Notamacropus eugenii: one gene and its partners. The protein of the gene in region 1 interacts with the protein of each later gene in a pairwise test. Links are inferred from orthologs where the notes say so. Each region holds a gene or a part of one and is shown in the gene's direction. Other genes may lie near its edges.

What was found.
Region 2: the proteins of EDA (region 1) and PLN interact in binary tests that used the Homo sapiens proteins (3 or more experiments, as listed by UniProt). The link is inferred for Notamacropus eugenii from reciprocal best matches to the Homo sapiens genes EDA and PLN.
Region 3: the proteins of EDA (region 1) and DOLK interact in binary tests that used the Homo sapiens proteins (3 or more experiments, as listed by UniProt). The two-hybrid records come from large-scale screens. The link is inferred for Notamacropus eugenii from reciprocal best matches to the Homo sapiens genes EDA and DOLK.

What each region holds. Positions count from the first base shown.
Region 1 is NC_092879.1:100,925,689-100,933,622, reverse strand, and holds the start of EDA (ectodysplasin-A), read left to right. Parts: upstream 1-4,808; 5' UTR 4,809-5,130; coding exon 5,131-5,589; intron 5,590-7,934. UniProt on the Homo sapiens protein: Cytokine which is involved in epithelial-mesenchymal signaling during morphogenesis of ectodermal organs. Functions as a ligand activating the DEATH-domain containing receptors EDAR and EDA2R. May also play a role in cell adhesion.
Region 2 is NC_092873.1:200,445,399-200,453,277, forward strand, and holds the start of PLN (phospholamban), read left to right. Parts: upstream 1-4,471; 5' UTR 4,472-4,576; intron 4,577-7,879. UniProt on the Homo sapiens protein: Reversibly inhibits the activity of ATP2A2/SERCA2 in cardiac sarcoplasmic reticulum by decreasing the apparent affinity of the ATPase for Ca(2+).
Region 3 is NC_092872.1:480,252,652-480,260,466, reverse strand, and holds DOLK (dolichol kinase), read left to right. Parts: upstream 1-4,407; 5' UTR 4,408-4,871; coding exon 4,872-6,458; 3' UTR 6,459-7,322; downstream 7,323-7,815. Other genes in the region: nucleoporin NUP188, read right to left, coding at 4,255-4,286. UniProt on the Homo sapiens protein: Catalyzes CTP-mediated phosphorylation of dolichol, the terminal step in de novo dolichyl monophosphate (Dol-P) biosynthesis. Dol-P is a lipid carrier essential for the synthesis of N-linked and O-linked oligosaccharides and for GPI anchors.

The sequences.
Region 1 (7,934 bases):
TGAGTTTTGAGTCCAAACAACATAAGTATGGGCTTGTCATTGGTTGGAGCTCCAGGAGACTACTGCTGGACTTAGCCATCATCAGCCAGCTGAAATGCTGTGCCAGCTGAGAGTTGCAGAACTGTAGGCTCTCTTTTGGACCAGGTTTCCTGCCCAGGTTATTCTACTGTAGGCTTTGACTGTGCATAGGACTGGATCTCAGACCCTGCTTTGCTCCTGGGGTCCGTCGCAAAGTTTTTGCTTGCTTCTGTACTTGGTCCTCTCTGAGCACATGCCCAGGGCCCACAACGACTTTTTGCCCTGGTCCTCAACACCTAGGAAAGGGAGTAGGAAAGGGAATAAGCACTTATATAGCACCTGCTGTGTGGCAGGTAATATGCTAATCATTTTCCAAATATTATCTCGTTTGATTCTCAAAACAATTCTTTCAGGTTGGTTGTTGTCCTTCATCTTCGAAGAGGACCAAAGTGACATCACCACTGTAAAGTGAAATTTCTGTGCGTCCAGCTGTGGCTGATCAGACCTGTACAAGCTCGGAATGCTCTACCACAGGCTGGGCACAGATAGTCCGTATAAATATTTGGGGTGGATATCCCAAATTGGAGCATCCTACATTTACTTCGTGCTATCTCAATTCTGCTTTGCTCAAAGAGCACAGCACCCTTTCTGACGTGGGCACTTCATGCCGAGCGGTCCTGTGCCAGTGTCTCCCATGTTGCACAGTCAAATACAAAGTTCTTGAGAGAGACCTTGAGAGTGCCCTTGTATTGTTTCTTCTGGCCACCACGTGATCACCTGCCCCGTGCAAGCTCTCTATAAAAGTCTTTTTTGGCAAACATACATTTTGCATTTGAACAACGTGGCCAGCCCATCAGAGTTGCACTCTCTGAAGCATGGTTTGAATATTTGGCAGTTCAGCTTGAGCAAGGACTTCAGTGGTGCTATTCTTAGCACCATTTTTTAGTTGGAGAAACGGAGGCGAACAGAGGCTAAGTGTTTAAATAGAAGTTAAGTCCAGGGTCACACAGCTTGTAAATGTCTGAGGTTGGATATGAACTCAAGTCTTCCTGACTCCAGGCCCGGTGCTCTAACTTCTGTGCAACCAAGCTGCCCTATACTCCTAGGTGCAGTCTGCACTAAATTTGTGATCCAGTAGTGGGAAATGAGTGACAAGGCTGCTACTCTGCATCTGTTTCTGCTCCCTGAACATGATCAGGGGTTCTGGGCTCTCTGTGATGGATCTAAGATTTCTTACCCTAGCTCACAGTAGCAGGCAGCTCTTTATTCAGTCCCCTTGAAGGAAAGCTCAACCCATCCCCCAGTGTCTGAAGACCTCCCTGTGCGTCTCCCTATGCGGACCTGGGCATGATGAATAATTCATTATGGTTTTAAAAAAATCCTTAAGTAGGACTTGGCCTTTTGAGTTTTCTAGATCTCTGTGGAATGCTTGTAGGCAAAAGCTCAGTTGTACTTCTTCCTTCCACCCTGCCCTTGTCTGGGTTTCAACAATCAGGGGAATAGGGCATTTGACCTGGGAGAGGGGGGCAGAAAGACATTTGCTGTTGCCAGTTGTTGTAAGGATACCTCCATTCCTTCCCCCACCATGTCGGTGTCCCTCTCTGTCTCTCTGTGTGAGGGCAGGCACCTTGTGAAAGTTGAGGGCAGCTCTGAAGAGTTGCCTGGATTTCAGTGTTATTTCCTGCATATCTGTGTTCTCCTGTGTTGTGGCTGTCTCTGGAGAAAGTCTCCAGTCTTGAGTTCTGAACCCTTCCCTAATTTCTTGAGCATGTCTGGATTTGAGGTGACAGGACCCCAGAAACCAATAGTTGTAGGACCCTGATAATGCTAATGCACAGCATGACATTTGGAGAGTTGGAGGGTCCCTGGGCTACAATGTTAAGAAATGGCTGCCATTTGCTTCCATTTCCTCTTCAGATAACAAGAGGTATCCTTTTACCTCTTCACAGGTTCCTTGGAGGGGCCTTTCCTATGCAAATGCTCTAGAATCCTTTCTGAGTCTGAAATGCATCCATATTCCATGGGATATCCCACCCAGATCAACCACTAGATCAACCTCCAGATCAACCTCCAGATCCAACCACCATACTCCACTGTATTAGCAAGTCAGGACAATCCAGAACTAGCAAGTTATGTGACCTTTGGCAAGTCAGTATCCTCCCTGTGTGGTAGTTTCCCCATCTGGAAAATGAACAGACTTGATTATCTAAGAGTTCTTAAGCTGGGGTATAGAAACTTTTTAAAAAATACATTGCTAATGGTATTTCAATAGAATTTGTTTCCTTTGCATTCCTATGTATGTGATTTAAACCCTCCTGAGAAGGGATTCATAATCTTCTTCATCTGACTGCCAAAGGCCATCCCTATCTAGAACTCAAATGTGAATGGATTTTCTCCACAGAAGCCAAAAAGGTGACAAGCCCCAGAAGTCTCTGAGCTCCTAAGGCCCTTTCAGCTTTAAGTTCTGTGAATGGGTTAGTTAGGATAAACCAACTTGACAGACATTTTCAGGCATTAAAGACAATCACTAATGTCTGGAGAGAGTGAGAAGGGACCTTACCAGGCCCTTCTCACTTTAAATGGAGCTATGGGCTGAGTCAATTTTCTTATTTGTAACAGGGCTATAATTAAATAAAACCTGTATATTGTAATCTGGGGGCAGGAAGGGACATGAGGATCATAGAATTTAAGAGCTGGGAGGGACCTTTAAGATTATATCGTCTAGGGGTGGGGAATCTGTGGCCTCAAGTCTATATGTGGCCCTCTAAGTCTTCAAGTGTGGCCCTTTGAGTGAATCCAAGCTTCAGGGAACAAATCCCCTTCATAAAAGAACTTGTTCTGGAAAACTTGGACTCAGTCAAAAGACCGTACCTGAGGACCTAAGCCCCACCTATTTACAGATGAGGAAACTGAGGCACAGAGTTGCAGTGATTTGTTCAAAGTCACACACCTTGTAAGTGTGAGGGACAAAACTTGAGCTTCAGGGTCATCATTTGCAAATCCAGAGTTCTTTTTACTGTACTAAGGAAACTTTTCCCTCTAACCCCGTGACCCTTTCGTTCAATGATCTGAGCTGCCTCTTCCACTCCAGGTCAACCCAGTCAGCTCTAGCCCTAGAAAACTGTGAGTCTTTGGATCTGTCCTTTCCACCGTCCCTCATGGGCTCAAGGGGAAGTCTGACTTCAGTGTGTTTGTTGCCTTCTTGTGTTTGGTGTAATGTTAAAGATTCTGCCAGCTGTGTATTCTCCAGCTGCACATCTGGAACTCTTGGCTGACTTGTTGAACTCCCTCCCAGGGATTTCTCCAGGGAGTGAGTGGGGAGGTGTATTAAGGCTAGGACAGCTGCCTGCAAATGAAGATGCCAGAGTCCCCAGGCCACTCTCCCCTCCCCACCCCCACTTTGGGAAGATCTGCTCCATCCTGGTCATCAAATTCTCCCCTTTGTCCCCTGAAGGGACAAGTTTAGCTCTTTTCAGGAGAAAAGATTGGATTGTCATTGAACTATAGAGCTCAGTGGGACTTTAGACCAGAGAAATAATCCAGAGCCATAAGGATAAAACATGGAACACAGAATGTGACTCTCTGGAAAGACCCCAGAATCAAAAATGCTCGAGTTGGAAGAGGATCTCCGAGGCCTTATTTAGCCCAAACTTTACTTTACAACGAGGAAACGGGGAGGCGGGGGGGGGGGGGGGGGGGGGGGGGGGGGGGGAGTCACTCGTTCAGGCTTACTTACGTAGCTAGCTAGTGCCAGAGATAGAACGAAAACCCAGATTTCCTGGTCGCTCAAGTCAGCATTCTCACATCACATTAAAAGGAACTCTACTGCTCCCCCCCCCCCCGCACCCCCCCGCAAGAATCTCGCTAAGTGGTTGTCGAATGAATGAATGGCTATTTCAGTCCCCTCGGGCGGGCCCCAGCACTGGCTCTCTTGCTCCCAACTTCTGTCTCTCGCTGTCTCTGTCAGATTCTGTCTCCCTCCACCCCTACCTCTTCTCAGTCCCCTCGGGCGGGCCCCAAGACTGGGTCTCTTGTGTTCCCTTCTTCTCTGTCTGTGGCTGTCCCCCCTCTCCCCCTCCCCTCCGCCTTGGGCTCCCAGGCCGTGGCTGCTCCCGGGATTCCTGTCCCGGCTTCGTCCGTGCGCCAGCTGCCTGCGGCTTGGACCTCGGCCCTGGCTGGCAGGTTTCATTCCAAAGCCCTAACTGTTTTAATTACTTGGTCTGTGAAACCCCTGGAAGGGAGAGAGACGGAGAAGGGCTGCGCTGGGTTAGGTGGGGGCACTGGGAGGTGACGAGCAAACTTCTCTCCGTCCAGAGCTCGTTTTCCACTGGTTCAGGTCCACGAGCACTTAGTTGGCCCCTGCTGTGAGCGGGGAAGGCATGAGGCGTGGAGTGGAATCGAGTTGTGATCCAGCTCCTGCTCCCCCTTCGCGACGGAACCGGGCACAGGACAAGAACTCGCCTTTCCAGATCGCCCCTCATTGGGCTAGCCTCCCCCTGGCAGGCGCCCAAGGGTTAACTGGAGGCGGGGTCCAGAGCTGAAGGGCAGCCGCTCCCGCCAACGGGAATGGGAAAAGCGGGAAGCTGAGGGAGGAGCGAGCGGTCTGGGGCGGGACCGCACGCGGCCCGGCCCCGCCCCCTGAGAGAGGGACCGGGGTGGAGTCTTGGGGAGGGCGGGGCGCGGGGCGCCGGGAGCCGGGAGGCCGTGCCGATTGGATGGCGGAGCCATCGCTCCGCGGCCACGGGGCGGGGCCAGGCCGCGCCCCCGCCTCCCTCCGCCCGCCCCCCCGCCCGCGGAGTGGGGCCGCACACGCGGCTGCTCCCCACTCCGGCCCGCCCAGCCGCCGCCGCCGCCTCGCCCGTCTGTCCGTCCGTCCGTCCGTCAGTCCGTCGGTGCGTGTGTCCATCCGAGGTGCGGCGGCCGCGGGTGCCCCGAGCCCCCCGGCCCATGGCCGCTCAGTAGACGCGCCTGACAGGGCTCCTTCCGAGAGTGCCGGCCCAAGCAGCAGACGCGGCGGCGGCGGCGGCGCGGGGCCCACGGGCCTCCCGGGCGGACGGACGGGCGTGCGTGCGTGCGTGCGTGCCAGAGAGTGCGGGAGGCCCCCCGGAGGCCATGGGTTTCGCCCAAGAGCCTGCAGCGGCGCGCGGGGAACCCGGGCCAATCGTCGGGCCGGTCATCGGGCCGGGCCGCCGCCGGGCTAGCCAGCGAGGCTGCGGCTGTCGTGGGGGCTCGGCTTCTGCGGGCGCCTGGAGCAGCTGCCGCCTCTTCCTGGCTTTCTTCGCGCTGTCGCTGGCCCTCCACCTGCTGACACTCTGCTGCTACCTGGAGCTGCGCTCGGAGCTGCGGCGAGAGCTAGCCGCCGAGGCCCGCCGCGCCCCCGCCCCCGCCGGGCCGCCTGCCGGACCCCCCGACGCTACCGTTGATGCCTCCCGGGACTCTTTGGCCGTCCGCCGCCGGCGCCAACGCGGGCAGCTGCCACCTCAACTCCAGCAGCAGCAGCAGCAGCTGCCACCACCCGAACCCGAGTCTAGGGACACGGCGCTTCTTCCCGACCCTGGGGACCCGCAGCAGGTGAGTCACCCCTCCTGCCGGGCGGCCCAAAGAGGGAGGGAAGAAGGGTACACCTGCTCCCTTGCCCTACTGATCGCCTGTCACCTTCTGCCGCAGTAACCGGGAATGTAACTAAGTCATTAAGGAAATGGCAAAACTCATTCAGTTTGAAAGTAATTCACAAAGCTGGTCACAAAGTAACTGGCAAAGTTACTTACAAAGTTGGCCACAAAGTAACTGGCAAAGTTACTTACAAAGTTGGCCACAAAGTAACTCACTAAGTCAGTCACAAAGTAACTGGCAAAGTTACTTACAAAGTTGGCCACAAAGTAACTGGCAAAGTTACTTACAAAGTTGGCCACAAAGTAACTCACTAAGTCAGTCACAAAGTAACTGGCAAAGTAGCTCACAAAGTAATTCATCAAGTCACAAAGTAACTGGAAAAGTAACTCACTAAGTCAGTCACAGAGGACCTGGGGAAGAAATTCCCTAAGTTTTAGTCAAGGAGTATCTGGCAAAGTGACTAAGTCAGTTGGAAAGTCAATTACAAAGTAACTGGCAAACTCATTAAGCCAATTGCAAAGCAAAGTCATTGAACTAACCAGGGAGTAGAGGCAGGCCCCTTGGAGGGACCGGTCAGCTTCATGCCTGAGGATAACTACTAGCTCTTAGCAGCTACAAGGCTGCCAGCCGGAGCCAGCTGCCAGCAGCTCAAGTGAGTGCTGTGTGCCCCAGGGAAGTAACTTCTTAACCAACTCCATGTCAAACCATGTGAGATGATTTGGGTTTTACCCGCAATTTGAGAGCCATACCAGCTCGATCATTCCTTGGGAAGGGCTTACTACCTCCAAGCTATTTTAAAAGTTTGGGGAAACACTCCCCTTCCACCTTGTTGCATGTTGCCTCTGTCCCTGGAAGCTAAGGATGGGGGGGGGGGGGGCAGGGAGAGGAGGCAATGTCCAGTAGCCACATGCTAGAGAAATGAGATCTCCTCAGAGGAGCCTGAGGCAGCCTAACAAGAGACTGTATTATGTGTATATGAACTTTCTGGTGGTTTGGTTTGAATGGGTCAACTTTTAAGCTTACTTTTTTCTCCTCTTATAGTTAACCCTTTTAGGGTACATTGAGAGCCATTCTAATTGAGATTAAATTGTTTGTAAAGTGTAATAATTGCAGTGAAACAGCCTTCTGGCTTGATCACGGAACAGTCATATGTTTTTATTACTTGGGAAGAAGAAGGTACTGAGGTCAATTAGGTGCTTGAAGGTCAAGGGTAACCCTGGCATTCTCTCTGGAATATAAGAACTCAGTACCTTAGTGTCAGCCTGTGCAGGTGGGCTGTAGAGTTGGGCATTACTATTGAGGATAACTGAACATTGCTGAAGATTTAAGACTGAAGCTTTCTCTAGCCTAGATTGTAAAGTTACTTTGCGGTTTCTCTTGCTTTGCTAGCAGGCTCCAACCTATAGAAGGACTGATCAGAGAATAAGCAGGCAAGCTTGAAACTTTACACTCTGTGGCAAAATGATAATTATCTGAGATTTGGGCTCCTTTACATAACTTTCTCCTCACCCCTTCAAGCTACCCCCCTCCTCCCCCAGTAGAAATATTTTGCAGTTAAACTCTAATGGAAAGGTAAAGGAATTCAGTATCCTTTTTGGCATTCAATATATAGACAGTCCCATGTTTATAATCTGTTGATAAACAGAACATCTGGACCTCTGGGGCTTCCTTTCTTGGGGGAAAGAGGCCAGGACTGACCTCTAATGGGATTTGGGATACCTATTCTCCTAGAACGTTTCATACTGTCCTGCCTAAGTTTTAAACCTCTGCCTTCCTAGTAGGCCTGAAATTGTATTGTCCTTCTTTGTACATTTGGGCTGTAGATGCAAGCATGCTAGTACCTTATCTTTCTCCTGAGTAAGCTAGAGTGCCCCAGTCAGAGTCAGAGGATCTTGTTAGCCAAACTGATTTCAGCTTCATCTTCCAGATTTTCCTTGAATCTTTGAAACTTTCAGGCAGTTTTCAAAGTGACTTTAGCTTAGGTGAACTTCTGTGTATCTTAAAGACAATGTTTTGAGCCTTCCTCGATGTCTAAATTGAACCATTTCCAATCCAATAGTTCTGTGGAGTCCTGGGTCAAGTTTCTGGTGCTCTAGGGCACCCTCTGCTGGCTGGGCTGGGATATAGAATTCTATGCTGACAAGGATTCATGCACAGGGAAGTAAACAGCTTTTCAGGTTCTGGTAACGTAGGGCAGATTTTCATATTTTGTTTTTCAAAACAAATAACTGCTGTGGCAGCAGGGGATCTTGGATGGAGAGAGATGAGAAATACTCCAGTGTGCCGTGGGCATGTCCTGGGTC
Region 2 (7,879 bases), on another chromosome or scaffold:
AGTTATTTTCAAATATCTGATTGTGAAGTGGTCTTCCAAAAGTAGACTTATTCTGTTTTGGTTCCAAGAAGTAAAACAGGAATAATAAGTAAGATTCAGTGTCAGAATTAGAGATGATATAAAAAAAATCTTAATTAGAAGTAGGATAGGATCATCTGGGAAGTACTGGGTTCTCCTTCAGTAGATGTTTTTAAAAATATACTGCATGACTCACACACTGAAGAAATCTTTATTCTGGTATGAGTTTGACCTAGCCTATGAAATCTTTTTCAGCTCTAAGATTCTCAAAAACATTTGCTTTTAAGAAATACATGAGTATGCAGAGTTTGGTTGCACTTTGGGCATAGTTCCAAATTGCTCTCCAGAATGGTTGGATCAGTTCACAACTCCAACAGCACATTAGTGTCCCAATTTTCCCACATCCCTTCCAACATTTATCATTTTCCTTTTTTGTCATATTAGTCAATCTAATAGATGTGAGATGGTATCTCAGAGTTGCTTTAATTTGCATTTCTCTAATCAAGTGATTTAGAGCACTTCATTTGCCTATAGATAATTTTGGTTTCTTCTGAAAACTGCCTGTTCATATCCTTTGACCATTCATCAATAGGGAAAAATGGCTTGTAGTCTTTATAAGTTGGACTCAGTTCTCTTTATTTGAAAAATGAAGCCTTTATCAGAAATACTTACTATAAAGATTGTTTCCTTCTAATCTAGGTTGCACTGGTTTTGTTTTTGTTTGTGTTTATTTTTAATTTATTATAATCAAAATTACTTTTTTTTTCTATTTTGTAATGCTCTATCTCGTTTGATCAAAAATTCTTCCCTTCTCTATAGATCTTACAGGCAGACTATTTTAATGTCTAAATCATGTATCCCTTTTGACCCTATCTTGGTAGTATGGTATGAGATATTGGTCTATATCTAGTTTGGGCCCTATTGTTTTCCAGTTTTCCCAGCAGTTTTTGTCAAATAGTGAATTTTTATCCCAGAGGCTGGGGTCTTTGGGTTTGTGAGACATTTAATTACTGTGGTAATTTACCACTATGTCTCGTAAACCTAATCTATTCCACTGATCCACCACTCTATTTCTTAGCCAGTAGCAGATAGTTCCGATGATTACTGCTCTATAATATAGTTTGAGATCTGGAACTGCTAAGTTACCTTCCTTTGTATTTTTTTCATTAATTCCACTGATATTCTTGACCTTTTGTTCTTTCAGATGATTTGTTACTTTTTTTCTACCTCTATCAAATAATTTTGGGGAAGTTTGGAATGGCACTGAATAAATAAATTATTTTAGAGAGAACTGTCATTTTCATGATATTGGTTCAGCGTATCCATGAGCAACTGCTATCTTTCTAATTGTTTGGATCTGACATTACTTGTATGGAAAGTGTTTTGTAACTGTGCTCATATAGTTCCTGGGTTTGTCTTGGCAGGTAGGTTCCTAAGTATTTTATATTGTTTACAGTTATTTTAAATGGAATTTCTCTTTTTATCTTTTGCTTCTGGGCTTTATTGGTCATATAAAGAAATACTGCTTATTTATGTCTTATATGCTGCAACTTTGATAAGTTGTTTCTTAGTTGATTCTCTAGGGTTCTCTAGTATAGCATCACATCATACACAAAGTGATAGTTTTGTTTCCTCACTGCCTATTCTAATTCTATTCTAAGTGCCTTGAGGACAGGGGTTGTTTTTAACTTTCTTGGTATATAGCACAGTGCCTGGCATAGAGTAGGAGCTAAATATATGCTTGTTGACTTGGAAAGAATAAAAACTTCAAATTGAAATGCTGAGGCAATTCTAATGATTAATCTCAGCCTCCTCTTCCCTCTAACAGGAATGCTAGAGGGCAGAACACTAAGCTCCACCCAAAGCTTTCCTTTATCTACACATTTGCTTGGTCTCAAAATGCTCCCCCATCTTCTCCCTCTACACACATCTCTTCTGCCCCTACAATCTGCAAGGCCCAGACCAGTCAATCCTTTGCTCCTGCTTCTAACTCTGTATTTGTCCACCATGCTCCGATGAGTACCTTCCCCTGGATCTACTCCCACTCCTGTACCTAACACAAAGCTTGGCACATTGTGAGGGTTCAGTCAGAATCTCCTCCAACTCTAACCTCCCCCCTGTTCTAATGGTCAAGTTCCTCCTCAGAATCTACTCATACCAGCCATGAATACTTTTAATACCAGCTAAACCCTCAATCCTATTGACTACTACATTTCCTTGAAAGCAAACTCTTTCTGCGTGTGTGTGTGTGTGTGTGTTATTGTTCAGCATAGTGCCTAGAACACATAGCAACTCTAAGGCTCAGAATACATTCAAAAGCACACTGACATTTCTTAAGTGTTTGCACTCCTTGTTTTTTAAAAAGAGGCTTAGACTCTAAGACAAGAGTAGGCCAAACACAGGCATCTCTTCATACTTATACACAAAAGAGAAGAAATTCTTCGTTTGTACGTTGTTATTCCTACATACTATTTCTGCTAATTTTCTGAATCCCTAGGAAATTAATAAACAAATACATAATGAGCATATTAGAATTAAGCATACAGTAAACTTCTGGTTTATCAAACTAAATTACCACCAAACTCCATTTTCCAAGAATTGCAAACTTTCTTCTTTTTAATGACTTCAAATTTTTTCTTTTCCTAATAAAAAAGATATCCATCCAGATATGTTCGGATTTTAATAGATACCATCCAGATTTAAAACATCATTTTTTAAAGTTATCAAGAGTCTGTTGGCTTCTGTCTCTCCCCATTTGTCATAATATCAATATATACTGTAAATCTGTTTTAAATCTCCCATTCTCTGAATCTTCTGCTCTATAATAGTTCACAAAAGTAACAGAAATGTACTCTGGAATGAATGGGATTTAAAATTTTAGCTACACAACATTTTTCACTTGGAAAAAGTATTAAACACAAGAGAACAAGAGAAATATGAGGTTTTTAAAGTTCTGTAGGAAAAACTACTCATTTCATTCATTTTTATGTATACTTTTCAGGTATTCCATTTTTACTTTATTATATCCATAAAACATTTTCTCCCAAAATATTATTTTAAAATCAGTTTTCACTGGTTCTTTAAATAAATGGAGAATGAAAAAATGCTCCCAGATATGGATTCTTATCTTCCTCTGGAGGAATACCAGAAGATATCCATTTAAGGACACATAAAACAGCAGCTGCAGATTTTAAAGGCTACTTGATTTGCTTATGTAGAACTAATATCAATGCATATAAAAATGCAGAGTAAATGTACTATATTTTTTTTTTTTTACAAATTCCATAGTATACACTGAACACAAACAAAAATAAACAAGAAATCCCTAAAACAATACATCACTTTTTAAAAAAAGATTTTGGAATGCTTTTTGTACCTTAGAAATATTAAACTTAAGTTTTTATTTCTGAAAGCAGAAATTTTAAAATGCTTAAGCAAATTAATTACCTAGAAGAGATATATACCCATACACAACACACATATGCTAGCAATCACCCTTTAGCTGTTTTAATAAATTTTAATTTAAACTATATTTACATAGTAAGCATATGTCTATACATCCCTCCATATACATTAGCAAATTAGAGAGGCATAACCTTTGGGATCCAGCCTAAAAATAGCTGAAATAAGAATCCAGCAGAAACGCAGCATTTACATGTGAACATTGGTGAGACCAATGCTATGTAACAGAAATGAGTCAAATCTATGCCTACTCATTCCAGAGACCACGTTAGAACAGGAGTGTTAAAATCAATGGCTTGTGCTTTTGTTCTTGCTTAGCTTTCAAATAAATGACCTTTTTACAAAAACTTTAAAAAAAAAAAGAATTAAAAAGTGATTACCACTGAATGTATATGTATGCGTGTGTGTGTATGTATGCACATATGAACACGTACTAAGGATGTATCAATTTGTGTTTAAATGAAAAAAATTCAAAATTCTTTTAAACTTTTAATATTAGACAATCACAGAATTAAATATAAAACTGAACAGAGATAGCACTTTGGCCCAGTGACTCAATGGGAATGCATCTAATTAGAAGCATCAAGTTCCTTATTATTACTGCAACTTGAAAAGTTCTGTAAATAAATCACTTACTACTTGAAATTTTTACAATATGAAAATTTTATAATACACCAAAAACATCTAGGGGAGGGGATTCTTTAAAAGCTTTCTGAACAAAAACAAAACAAACTATCAAGAGCAAACATGGCACTCTCTTTTATATAAGAACCAGCCTTATAGTTCACCATTTGCTTTTTTCAATAAGTAAAATATCAAAGGCTGGTGACCTTTGCAGTTCTAAAGTAGTATTAATCACGGTTTCAGTGAGTTTGATTGGATAATCTCAGTGTTGAGGTATATAATAACCAATCACAACTTCTCAATTAGTGTATGACATCATGGGTCCTCCCTCTGAAACTTCTCTTTCTCCACCTACTTCAACTGTTTCCACAAATATAGTGACATTCAAAAAAAAGGTGCCAGTAAAACACGAGGACTTCAGACAACTGAGAGCATACTGCACTACATGTTTGCAATTATCTGAGCAGCCAAGGTAAGAGACTTATTTTTTAACTATCTTTGGTAACTCTTTAATCCACTACTCAGATTTTAGTCTTTTTTATATATGTTGAAACAAAGCCATTATGCTGTTTTTGAATGATTTGTATATTTTAGTTCTGAGCCAGACATCACTTAAAAATCTAATTAAAAAGTTTTGCTTCTAAATAAAAACACTTCCCCCAGAACACATTAATGCATATACCTCAGTTTCCCCATCTTTGAGAGGGGATAAGTCCTTTAAACACACACACACACACACACACACACACACACACACACAAAACACTTCAAGGTCAAAAAGTCCAAAAAGGACTAACATACCTTTAACACAAATTCATTTTATAAATACTAATTGTGAAATTATATTCACTTTTAGCATCTTTCATAATACTGTTATTATATACTTCCTCATTATCACTTCCTACTGAATAATTTTAACTGAAAAAATTAAGAGGTAACACAAGGATAGAACTTTTACTTACATCTTGTAGAATTGTAAACATTCCTGTGACTGTACAATACACTGATTTTTTCAGTAACAGTTACAACTCTTTATACTGAAATTAACAACTGAAGAATGTAAATGCCATAAACTTATTTCAAGGACTGTGTTTTTTTTGTTCAAGAGAAAATGCTTTTTTTAAAAAAGGAGCACTTCTACATGACCTAACACCATGTTAAAAATCGTGATCTAAGCTAAACTGAATACCAAGCATTAAAAGCTACTTGGTGATCCTCAAAATATTTATAGAACATAGGGAAAAATAGTCTTTCCTAATTAGAAAACAACCACTTGAATCTAATAATATAGAGTGCTTTCTGTTAGAATGAGAATTCTGGGCTGCTTCATTTGACTCTGCATGTGATTTAATATATTTCTGCCAATGACTGACTTTAAACCAGTTTTTTCCTTTCTATGTTCTTGTTTTCACTTGGGATAAAATATCGTTCTAACACATAATTTTACCTTCCTGCCCTAGGAATTTACTTGAAGCTTCAAGCATCACTATGATTTTTTTTTTTGAAAAGCGGGAACTTTGGTTTTCTCTACAACAGGGGTTCTTAACCTATTTTTGTGTCATAGAACACATTAACAAGCTGTAGAGGCTTATGGTCCTCAGAATAATGTTCTGAAATGTGTAAAAATAAAATACATAGGGAGGGAGATCAATTATTTTGAAACAAATTAATCAAAATATTAAAAATCAGGTTCACAGGTCCCAGATTAATAATCCCTGCTTAGCACAAATTTCATCTAAAGTTCCTTTCCACCTCTCACTGTGGTAGATATTTTACCTTAGTTTGTAGAGCTGTCTGTGCAAATAAGAAAATTTTAGCAAGCACTAACTACGGACCAGATAAGCTTTAAGAACAAATATGAGTTTTGAAGTCAAAGGACCTGGGTTGAAATTATTACTCTGCTACTTATTTGTGTACAATAGCAAGCCACTTCCAAGGCTCAGTTTCCTCATCTTCTAGAGTTGGCAGACCCCTTCTAGCTGTAAATTTATGATCTGATGTGCCATTTGTTTACATAATAATGGAGCTCTTTTAAGAATATGCTGTTTATTTCTATAAAATACTCTATCAGACACAAGAATACATATATACATATATATTTATACATGCACTTGTTTTAGAAATGATCAGATCACATCAAGATTAAATTAAATACCTTATATTTTAAGTTGGTGAGTTCCCATTAGAATTCAAAGAGCTAATCTCTAAAAGATTAACAAAATTTCAAAACCATGTACAACAAGGAGCTGGGGAAAATCCTGAATGAATAAATACACTGCTAAAAATCAATACGTTCTGTTTTATAACAGATTTTTATTTATACATGCTCAAGTTTAAAAGCAGTCTTTAAACTGAAAACTGGAACTTCTGGCTAAAAGTTGAATCAACAAATATAAGTTAACATCTAGGATGACTAACTTATATTCTTAGCATTAAAGCCAATTATCCATAGGCTAGCTCCCGAACATAATTTAAGATGTACCAGAAAAATGCAACGAGTGATAAAATTTAAGAGCTGAAAGAGATCTTAGAGTTGTCTCAGAACACCCCTAAATTTAAAACAAACTGATGACCAAAAGAATTCAGTGGCTTGCCAGAGCACACTGCTTCTATCAGAACTAAGACAAAAAAAAAGTCAGCACTCCTTCCTTATATTACTTTGCCCATCCTCATCTGATCAATTGACACCTGAAATCACAATAATGTGGATTTCATTCCACAACAAGATATAAAGTTTAAAATGTAAAATATGTGAGAGTTGATTTAAATTCACACTAAATTATAAATAACTAAAAGCTGACTTTTGTATAAGGTTTCAACTAGAGAATGACAGGAGAATGCAGGAGAAACAGTAGATATACCTTAAAAGAGAGAAAACAAAACAGGCCTAAAAAGGAGAGGTTGAGAGATTCCAAAAATCAACAGATCTCAAGAGTGCACTTGTATGCAAAGTACACTGCTAAGAAAAGCTGGGGAAGAGCGTTTAATTTCACTAATGTCACATAAGGGCCCTGCAGTTCAGGAAGGCTACCAGTGTTGGTTTCTCACATAAATTTTCTCTTCCTAAGCACACAGTGAAATGGTCAGACAATGATATCTGTACCACCTGACACACAATGAGTATTCAAGTTCTTTCACTTTACTGGCACTTCATTTTCTCACATACAGTTCCATATAAATAGAATATCACCCACAGGGCTGAAAAATACCATAAAATCCTATTATAAAACTAGTTTATCATAGTATAGGTTTCATTATATTGAGTCAAAGCATGTCCCTTTAGTAGGGCAAACTGCAAGGCAGCATGACAACATGTGTAAAGTAAAAGCCCAGTTGGAAGAACTCCTGGGATTCCTGTCCTGTCTCTAATAAAAGCTAGCTGTGTGACCAGGGACTGTCACCCTCTGCATCAGTTCCCTTATCTATAAAGAGGATATTAATAGCACATACCTCCCAGCGTTGTTGTGAAAATAAAATAAGATTTGTAAAGTGCTTTATATAAATATGTAAATATTTATATAAATATACATAGCATTATATAAATGCTAGCTATTTTATTACTTTTATTATTATTTTATTCCCTGGTCAGGTAGATATCAAAGGTCCATAGCACCACCACTACTGCTGCTGCTGCTGCTCACCTCATTTTGTTCCCATCCCCTCCCATTAAAGTATGCATGGAACTTATTAAGTTTCAGAAAGTGACATGTTTACTGATATTAATTACTTTTAAATCTCACTGCTGCTGCGTTAAAAGGAGAAATTAAAAGTCATT
Region 3 (7,815 bases), on another chromosome or scaffold:
TTTTAAACTTCTTAGAATTAGGGAACGAGACTAGACCCTGTCATGCAGGTCAGCACCTTTGCTACAAATTTTAGTCTCTCAAGAATGTTGCCTATAAATCTGAGAGGTTAAGTGTCTTGTTCAGGTTCACAAAGCCAGCATGTATCAGAGGTGGGATTTTAACCCAGGCCTTTCTAGCTCCTAAGGCCAGCTCTCTACTATACCACTTTGCCACCCAATCTAGAATTAAATTTTAAAATGTGTCCTACAATACTGGCCTCTCTGGAAGCCATACGAAGAGGGGAAAAAAAGAGGTTGGGAACAATATTTTTATAAAAGCTTCCTGGATCAATGCATGGGTTGAATAATGTGTCTTACTGTCATCTAAAGATTATCCATCCTAGCTAAATTTAAAGGGGCTCACCACCAGGAGGCTGGCCATCAAAGTGATACGATTCTCTGACAACAGCAACTCACTTAAACTTCTACTAAGGTGTGGAGAGCTTGTGATTTATATTGGTAAAGGAAGTACCCACATGGGTCACTGAAATATAATATAAATGATAGAAATTTATCTTTCCAGTCTAAAAACCAATTTTCAGAATTCTCAAATTAAGGAAATCTGAAATATATCTAAAAAGTCTGTATTTGGTTCCTAAGGGCTGATACTTAGAAAGACAAAGAATCAGATATTACTATCTCTTCCCCTCACTGAGCTTTCTGTACAAGAAGCACTCCCAAATTCATTGCTCAAAAATAATTAGAAGAATATTAACAATAGCTGACATCTATACAGTGAGTTTAAGGCTGCAATACATTTTATATACATTAAATTATTTGTACCTCAGAACTTTGTGAAGCAGGTATCACAAGAATTATTATCTCCCATTTTAGAAATGAGAAACCTATGACTCAGAGAGATCAAATGACTTTAACCATGGTCATACAACTATTAAGTGTTTGAGACAGGATTCAATCCCATGTCTTCCTGACCCCAACTCTAGCATCCACTCCACAACTCCACACTGTCTATCCTATTAGTAAAATATAGGTGTACCTTACATAAGTGTTTTACAAAAGAAACCCCAAATCTCCTAGCTTCTAAGCCCAAAATAAAACACTCTACGTGACATATCACACATAAAGTCATAGAAACATGGACCCAAAGCTGGAAGAGACTCAGAGGCCATCTAGTCTATATCCTTATTTTACAGATGGGGAAAATGAGACCCAGAAAGGTTAAGTGACTTGCTTAGGCTAGACACAGTCAGCCATTTAAACACAGGACTTTGGATGCTAAAGTTATGGGATACAAAAATTATCTTCCCTAGAGACATTCATCCGGCTGAATACTTTAGGTAAGTCTGCTTGAGAGCTGAGTTTCTTCAGTTCTATAAACTAAGATGCAAAACTGGGATACAGATATACAACTCTGATGATGTAATTTTTTTTTTTTTAACAGACATCCCACAGGGACAATAAATAAAAGACGTCTACTGATTCTCATGAGTCCAACGACAGAGGCATAAACTGAGATTCAAGCTTAGCAACAAAAACCTTTTAAACAGCAGTTCTATTTTTGTTTACAGTATATATACACACAGCTTGGCTTTTTGCAAATGCATTAGCTAAAGAATAAAAGGGATATAAGAAAAACACCAACAATTAACTGATTTCTACTCAATCTCTGGGTTGCTTTCCCAAGAGAAAATTTCTGAACAGGATAAATTTAGAGCTGGAAGGGACTTCAGAAGTCATCTAGTTTAATGGTATCTTCTTGATTTATATATACATCTCTCAAGGAACTCAAAGTAACTGACATCTCAATTCTTTTCACCTATAAGACCTTGTTATGAAAATCTCTAATGGTGAACTAATTGCCTTTTTATTATACTTGGGAGAAACTTTAGAATTAGTACAATAATTTATCTAAAGGACTCAGTGACTCAAAAGCTACCAGAAATACAACCTAGGGTTTTCAACTTTTAGTCTAAAAACCTAGACATTTTAAGAAGGAGTTGCAGTATTTTTCCTGAAAGGGGGCTTATCTTGAACAAGGAGAATGGAGAGCTGACTCTAATACAGACCACAAGCTACTCTATGACTAGAAATACATTCTATTGAGTCAGTGGTATTTACTTCTAGGTTTCTTATATGAGTCTGATAGGTAGCTCATTAGGCAACTAGGTGGTGGAGTAGATAGAGCTCTGTACCTGGAGTCAGGAATACCTGAGCTCAACAATCCAGTCTCAGACACTTATTAGCTGTGTGACCTTGGGCATGTCATTTAACCCTATTTGCCTGTTTCCTCATCTGTAAAATGAGCTGGAGAAGGAAATGGCAAGCCACTCCAGTATCTTTGCCAAGAAAACCCTACATGGTGTCCTAAAGAGTTGGATACAACTCAAACGACTAAACAAGGTAGTTCAGTGGTAACTCTCTTACCTATTTTTAATAAAATAGCATGCCTTGATCTACAAGGAAACTTTGAGGTGTCTGAAGCACAACTTTAACACCAAGGCTCTGCAATAGTTATGAAACATCAACAAAGAGGATGAAGGAATCTTGATCTTGACTACTGTAACATCACACAAAAAAACTAAAGAGGGTAAGACAACTGCCACAAAGTCTCTGACATAAATCCTGCACAGAGGGCTGTGCAAGAGAAGGTTCCATGGCTAAACTTCCCCTTTTATGCACTTCCACATTCTGATTTGTATTACAATTATCTGAGTATAAGTCAGCTTCCTTGATTATTTCGTCCTCAGATTTTTCATAGAACTCAATATGGACCTCTCCTTTGCACTTATTAAATACACTATGTATTATCTACTACTAAACTAAACTTTCTAGAGGCAGGAACTATGCCATTCTTTTCATCTTTTTTACCTCTAGAGCTTGGCATAGCACCTTGAACATAGAAAGTACTGACACCCCCAAGAGGATATGAATCAAGAGCTGTAGAAGGAAAAATCTATATCAGGGATGCAACAAAACGGCCAAAAGATCCATGATCTCGTAAGAATGAGAACTTCCACCTTCAGTAAAGATTCCTGGGTATGGTGATCTACTCAGGAAGACCTTAAACTCTTTCTTAGCTGTATGTCCTTGGGCAGATCATTTCACCTAATCTATAAAATGAACGGACTGGACCTTCGACAGGCCCCTTCAAGCTCTTGATCTATGATCTCAAACCCCTCCTCTCTTTCCAGCACAACATGATGAATGGGTTTTCTGAGTTGCAATAGCTGAAAAAAAAAATTCATCCCCTGGTAGCCAAACCTTTCTGAACTTAGTGAGGGCGGTACTCTGATAGCAGTCTTACCGCAGTCCAGCAGGGTTCACAGATCGTGACCTAAACGCTACCTCCTTCTACAGACGAGGAAACTGAGTCTCAGGATGGCTACATGACTTAAGGTCACACAGTAAGCCTTCTCTGGCCGGACAGGCGCTTCTTTGTACAATGTCAGTTCCAGTCTGGCGGCCCCTTTCAGTTCTACAGGAATTAAAACCACCAAGAGAAACATTCCAGCGCCTTCTATGGAGGAATCAGCCACACTCATGGGGTCAAAGATCCATCTACCTGTCTTTGAGCCGAGTTCCTGAATAAATGTCCCTCTCTTAAAACCCTTCCCCAGGGCTGAAGAGCCTCCCCCGGCCAAGGGAGCCTTGCACGGAACACGTGGGTTCAATCTTTCTGCACTTAACGCCAGTTAAGATGAATCTCCTCTCCCCGGCCTTGCACAAAACAGCGTCTCAGACAAGTCTGCAGAACTAATGAATGAATCTGCCGACGCCTGCCGCTCCTGCTCGGCCGCGGAGAGGGCGGCTCCCCACTACAGGCCTGCCCCAGCGCGCCGAGCGGGGGAGGCAGGGGCGGGGGCGGTTCCAGGAGCAGGCCACGCCCCCCGCGGGAGGGGCAGCCCCAGCCTGCGGGAGTCCGGGGACTGCAGCACCAGCGCGGGGAAAGGGGAGGAGGGATCTGGCGTGCGCGCTCACACACCAAGGGAGGAGGGGCTGCTCGCGCCTCGGCCGCCCCACTCCCCCGCCTCCTAGTGCCCCTCCGCGCGCTGGGGGCCTCGTGCCTGGGACGGGGGCCGGTTGGAAAGTAACCGACTCGTCGCCCGCCAACCTGGCCCCACCGTCGCTGCCCTCGGCGCCGGTTCCTCCACTCCCTCTATATTCGGCCTCTCTCCGCCTCCCGCCCTCCATTCACCCCTGCTCCCTCTCCCCACACTCCCCCTCCAGCCAGCATCAAGAATTCCCGGCCCGTACCTCACACAGAGCCCGCCGGCGGCAGCCGCCATCTTCGCGTCCCCCCCACGTGACCGCGCGGTAGCCCGCGCGCTGGGCCGCCTGCCTCACGTGATCGCGTAGGGGCGTGACCGAAGAGTCAAATGGAAGGAGTCGAACGGTTGGACCAGCCTCCGCTGTTTAGGCTGGCCAGGCGTCTGTCACGTGACCTTCCGGGCTTAAGATGGCGGCTCCCAGGGAGGTGAAAGCCCTCGTTTGAGGGCAGAAGACCGAGTGGGTGAGGGCCAGGTAGTGCTGGAGCTGGATCTCTGACAAGGAGGTGGGAAAAGGGAAGGTGTGCCGGCTTCGCGGCTGCTGCCGGCGAGGTGGCACCCTACATCATCTCCCCGAGTCCTGAAAGGGGATGGAGAGGGGACAGTGAGTCTCCAGCCTACTGTGGACACTGGGGTCCCTGACACGTGCCCTCCCTCGGGGCTGTCTGACGCAGCGCGCTCTCCCCAAGCAGCTGCCAGCCCGTCGCCCTTTTTTTCTTTGTGGCAAACCCTCAGGCTTCTTCTGACCTTTTCATCCATGATCCAGAGCCCCCCCCACTGTGGAAGGGAAACGTGGCAGCGCCCATCCAAGCTGAGGGTGGTCGAATGGCTGCAGCCATGACGAGCAGAGCCGCGCTGGGGGAAGCCGCCATTGTGTTCGCGGTGGTGCTGAGCATCCATGCCTCGGTGTGGGACCGCTACTCCTGGTGTGCCGTGGCCCTGGCTGTGCAGGCCTTCTACGTCCAGTACAAGTGGGACCGGCTGCTCCAGCAGGGGGCTGCGGTCTTCCAGTTCCGGACCACAGCTAACAGCGGCCTGCTTCCGGCCTCCATGGTCATCCCTCTGCTGGGGGTGGTGATGAAGAGGCGCTGCGAGGGTGTGGGAAACGTCTACTTCGAGCGCTTCGGCGTTGTGGTGGCAGCCACCGGAATGGCACTGGCGCTTTTCCTGTCCGTGTTGGCACTGGGCATCACCAGGCCAGTGCCCACCAACACCTGTGTCATCTCTGGTCTGGCTGGGAGTGTCATCATCTACATCATGAAACACTCGTTGAGTGTGGCAGAGGTGATTGAGGTCCTCGAGGTCCTGCTGATCTTTGTCTACCTCAACATGATCCTACTGTATCTGCTACCCCGGTGCTTCACCCCAGGGGAGGCATTGCTTATCCTAGGGGGCATCAGCTTTGTCCTCAACCAGCTCATTAAGCGATCCCTAAATGTTATCCAAGGCCGAGGAGACCCTGTAGACTTCTTTCTCCTGGTGGTAGTAGTAGGGATGGTTATCATGGGTATCTTCTTCAGCACATTCTTTGTCTTCATGGACTCTGGAACCTGGACATCTTCTCTTTTCTTTCATCTAATGACAGGTGTGCTGGGCCTTGGTGTCGTCATGCCCTGGTTGTACCACCTAATCCGGGAGAACCCCTTGCTCTGGCTTTTCCAATTCCTATTCCAGTCAGAAACTCGTATCTACCTCCTGATCTACTGGTCTCTGCTGGCTGCTTCAGCCTGCTTAGTTGTGATGTACCAAAATGCTAAGAGATTATCTTCTGAGTCAAAGAAACATCAGGCCCCCACAATTACCCGGAAGTATTTCCACATCATCGTAGTGGCTACTTATATACCAGGACTTATATATGACCGACTCTTACTGTATGTTGCAGCTGTGGTCTGCCTAGCTGTCTTTATCTTCCTTGAGTATATTCGCTTCTTCCGAATTAAGCCCCTGGGCCAGACTCTGAGAAACCTGCTCTCCCTCTTCCTTGATGAAAGAGACAGTGGCCCCCTCATCCTGACTCACATTTACCTGCTGCTGGGCATGTCTCTCCCTGTTTGGCTATTCCCAAGACCTTGTGCCCCAAAGGGTAGCGTGGAAGGAGTTGGGGCTCTGGTCCCTTATGCAGGAGTGCTGGCTGTGGGAGTAGGTGACACCATTGCTGCCATTTTTGGCAGTACAGTGGGGGAGATCCATTGGCCAGGAACTCTGAAGACTTTTGAAGGGACAATGACTTCCATATTTGCTCAAATCATTTCTGTGGCTTTGATCTTAATCTTTGATAGTAGGGTAGACCTTAACTCCAGCTATGCTTGGATTTTGGGGTCTCTCAGCATAGTCTCCCTCCTGGAAGCCTACACTACTCAAATAGATAATCTTATCTTACCTCTCTACCTCCAGATTCTGCTGATGGCTTAGCCTTCATGCAAGGATCACAGGAGGAAGTAAGTTAAAGAGAGACATATGGCCCATAGTCAGCATTTAGCCATTTGGGTATGATAGGTCAGGTAGTGAAAAGCTGATTCACTTTTGCAGTAAATTGAGATTTAAAATAAAATCAAAGCTGCCCTTGCATTTTAGCTCTGTTGATTTGAAAATAAGGTAACATTTCAGATGAAGGAATTGGAAGGACATACCAGTGAGGGTTTCCAGTGGAAGTGCATTTTTTTAACACTTAATTTTTATTTCATTTTTCTCAGTTATGTGGAAGCACATTCTTCACGGTGATAGAGCCCATTTAGACAGCGGAAGATGTGTTTTGAGAAATCAAAATCCAGCCTTGAAAAATAGCTTCTCATGGTGAATAATTAATTTATATCTAATAATTTAGAGAATTGTGAAAACTGGATTTTGTTTACTAGGCTTGATTTTGTAGAAGAGAGTGAAAGGAGAAGCTTTTTGTAACATTTATGAGAATGTTTTAACTGGGTAAAGGGGGAGAAGAGTGCAAAAGAGTGAATGAGGAAATAGTGGAGCTAATGCCATTTATTTTTTCTAAGTGGGCCATAGTGTGCCATGTCAGAACTGGATTAGTATAGGTGGTTACTTGGAAATTAGGAGCCCCTAGGGGTGGAAGTGGGTAACAGAGGAACTAAGAGAAGATACTAGAATAGATATTGAGGGTCAATTGTGGAGAATGTGAGAAATCGGGGAGTACTCTATATCAGAGATCCAAATCACAGGGCTGCATGCAACCCAAAATACTCCTGAGTACCGCCTGAACCAGATGAAAATATAATTGGGAAATATTTAACAAAATAAATAAAAATGCAATAAAACATAGATGATGTTAAAGCATGATTTTCTAAGTCAATATGCAACCCACAGGGATCCTTATGTACAGTTTAGTGGTCCTTGTTTCTATTTGATTTTTGACACCAGTGTTCTAGAGCTGTGCTTCCTGACCTAAATGATCATTGTGAATCATAAACATTGGGAACCCTGAACAGTAAAATAAATAACATCCATACAGAGCCTACTGCAACCTCTTTAGCAACTCAAAGGATAGGGGACCATGAGGGAGGGAGGAAAAAAAGTCAGGGAAAAGGAAACAGCTTTTTCAAGATTATAGAATTTAAGAAACATGATCTTTTTATAGTAAACATTTTGCTGACAAGAAAAACTTCGCCACAAATCATTACTTAATAAATACTGGTTAAAAATGGGAATCTAACCATCACTTATAATTTTTCTTTACTTACCACTCCGGCATCCCTTGTAGAGCTTCTCTCCCTTCATACCTGACTACCAGAGATGTCAATAGGAGGGGATAGGG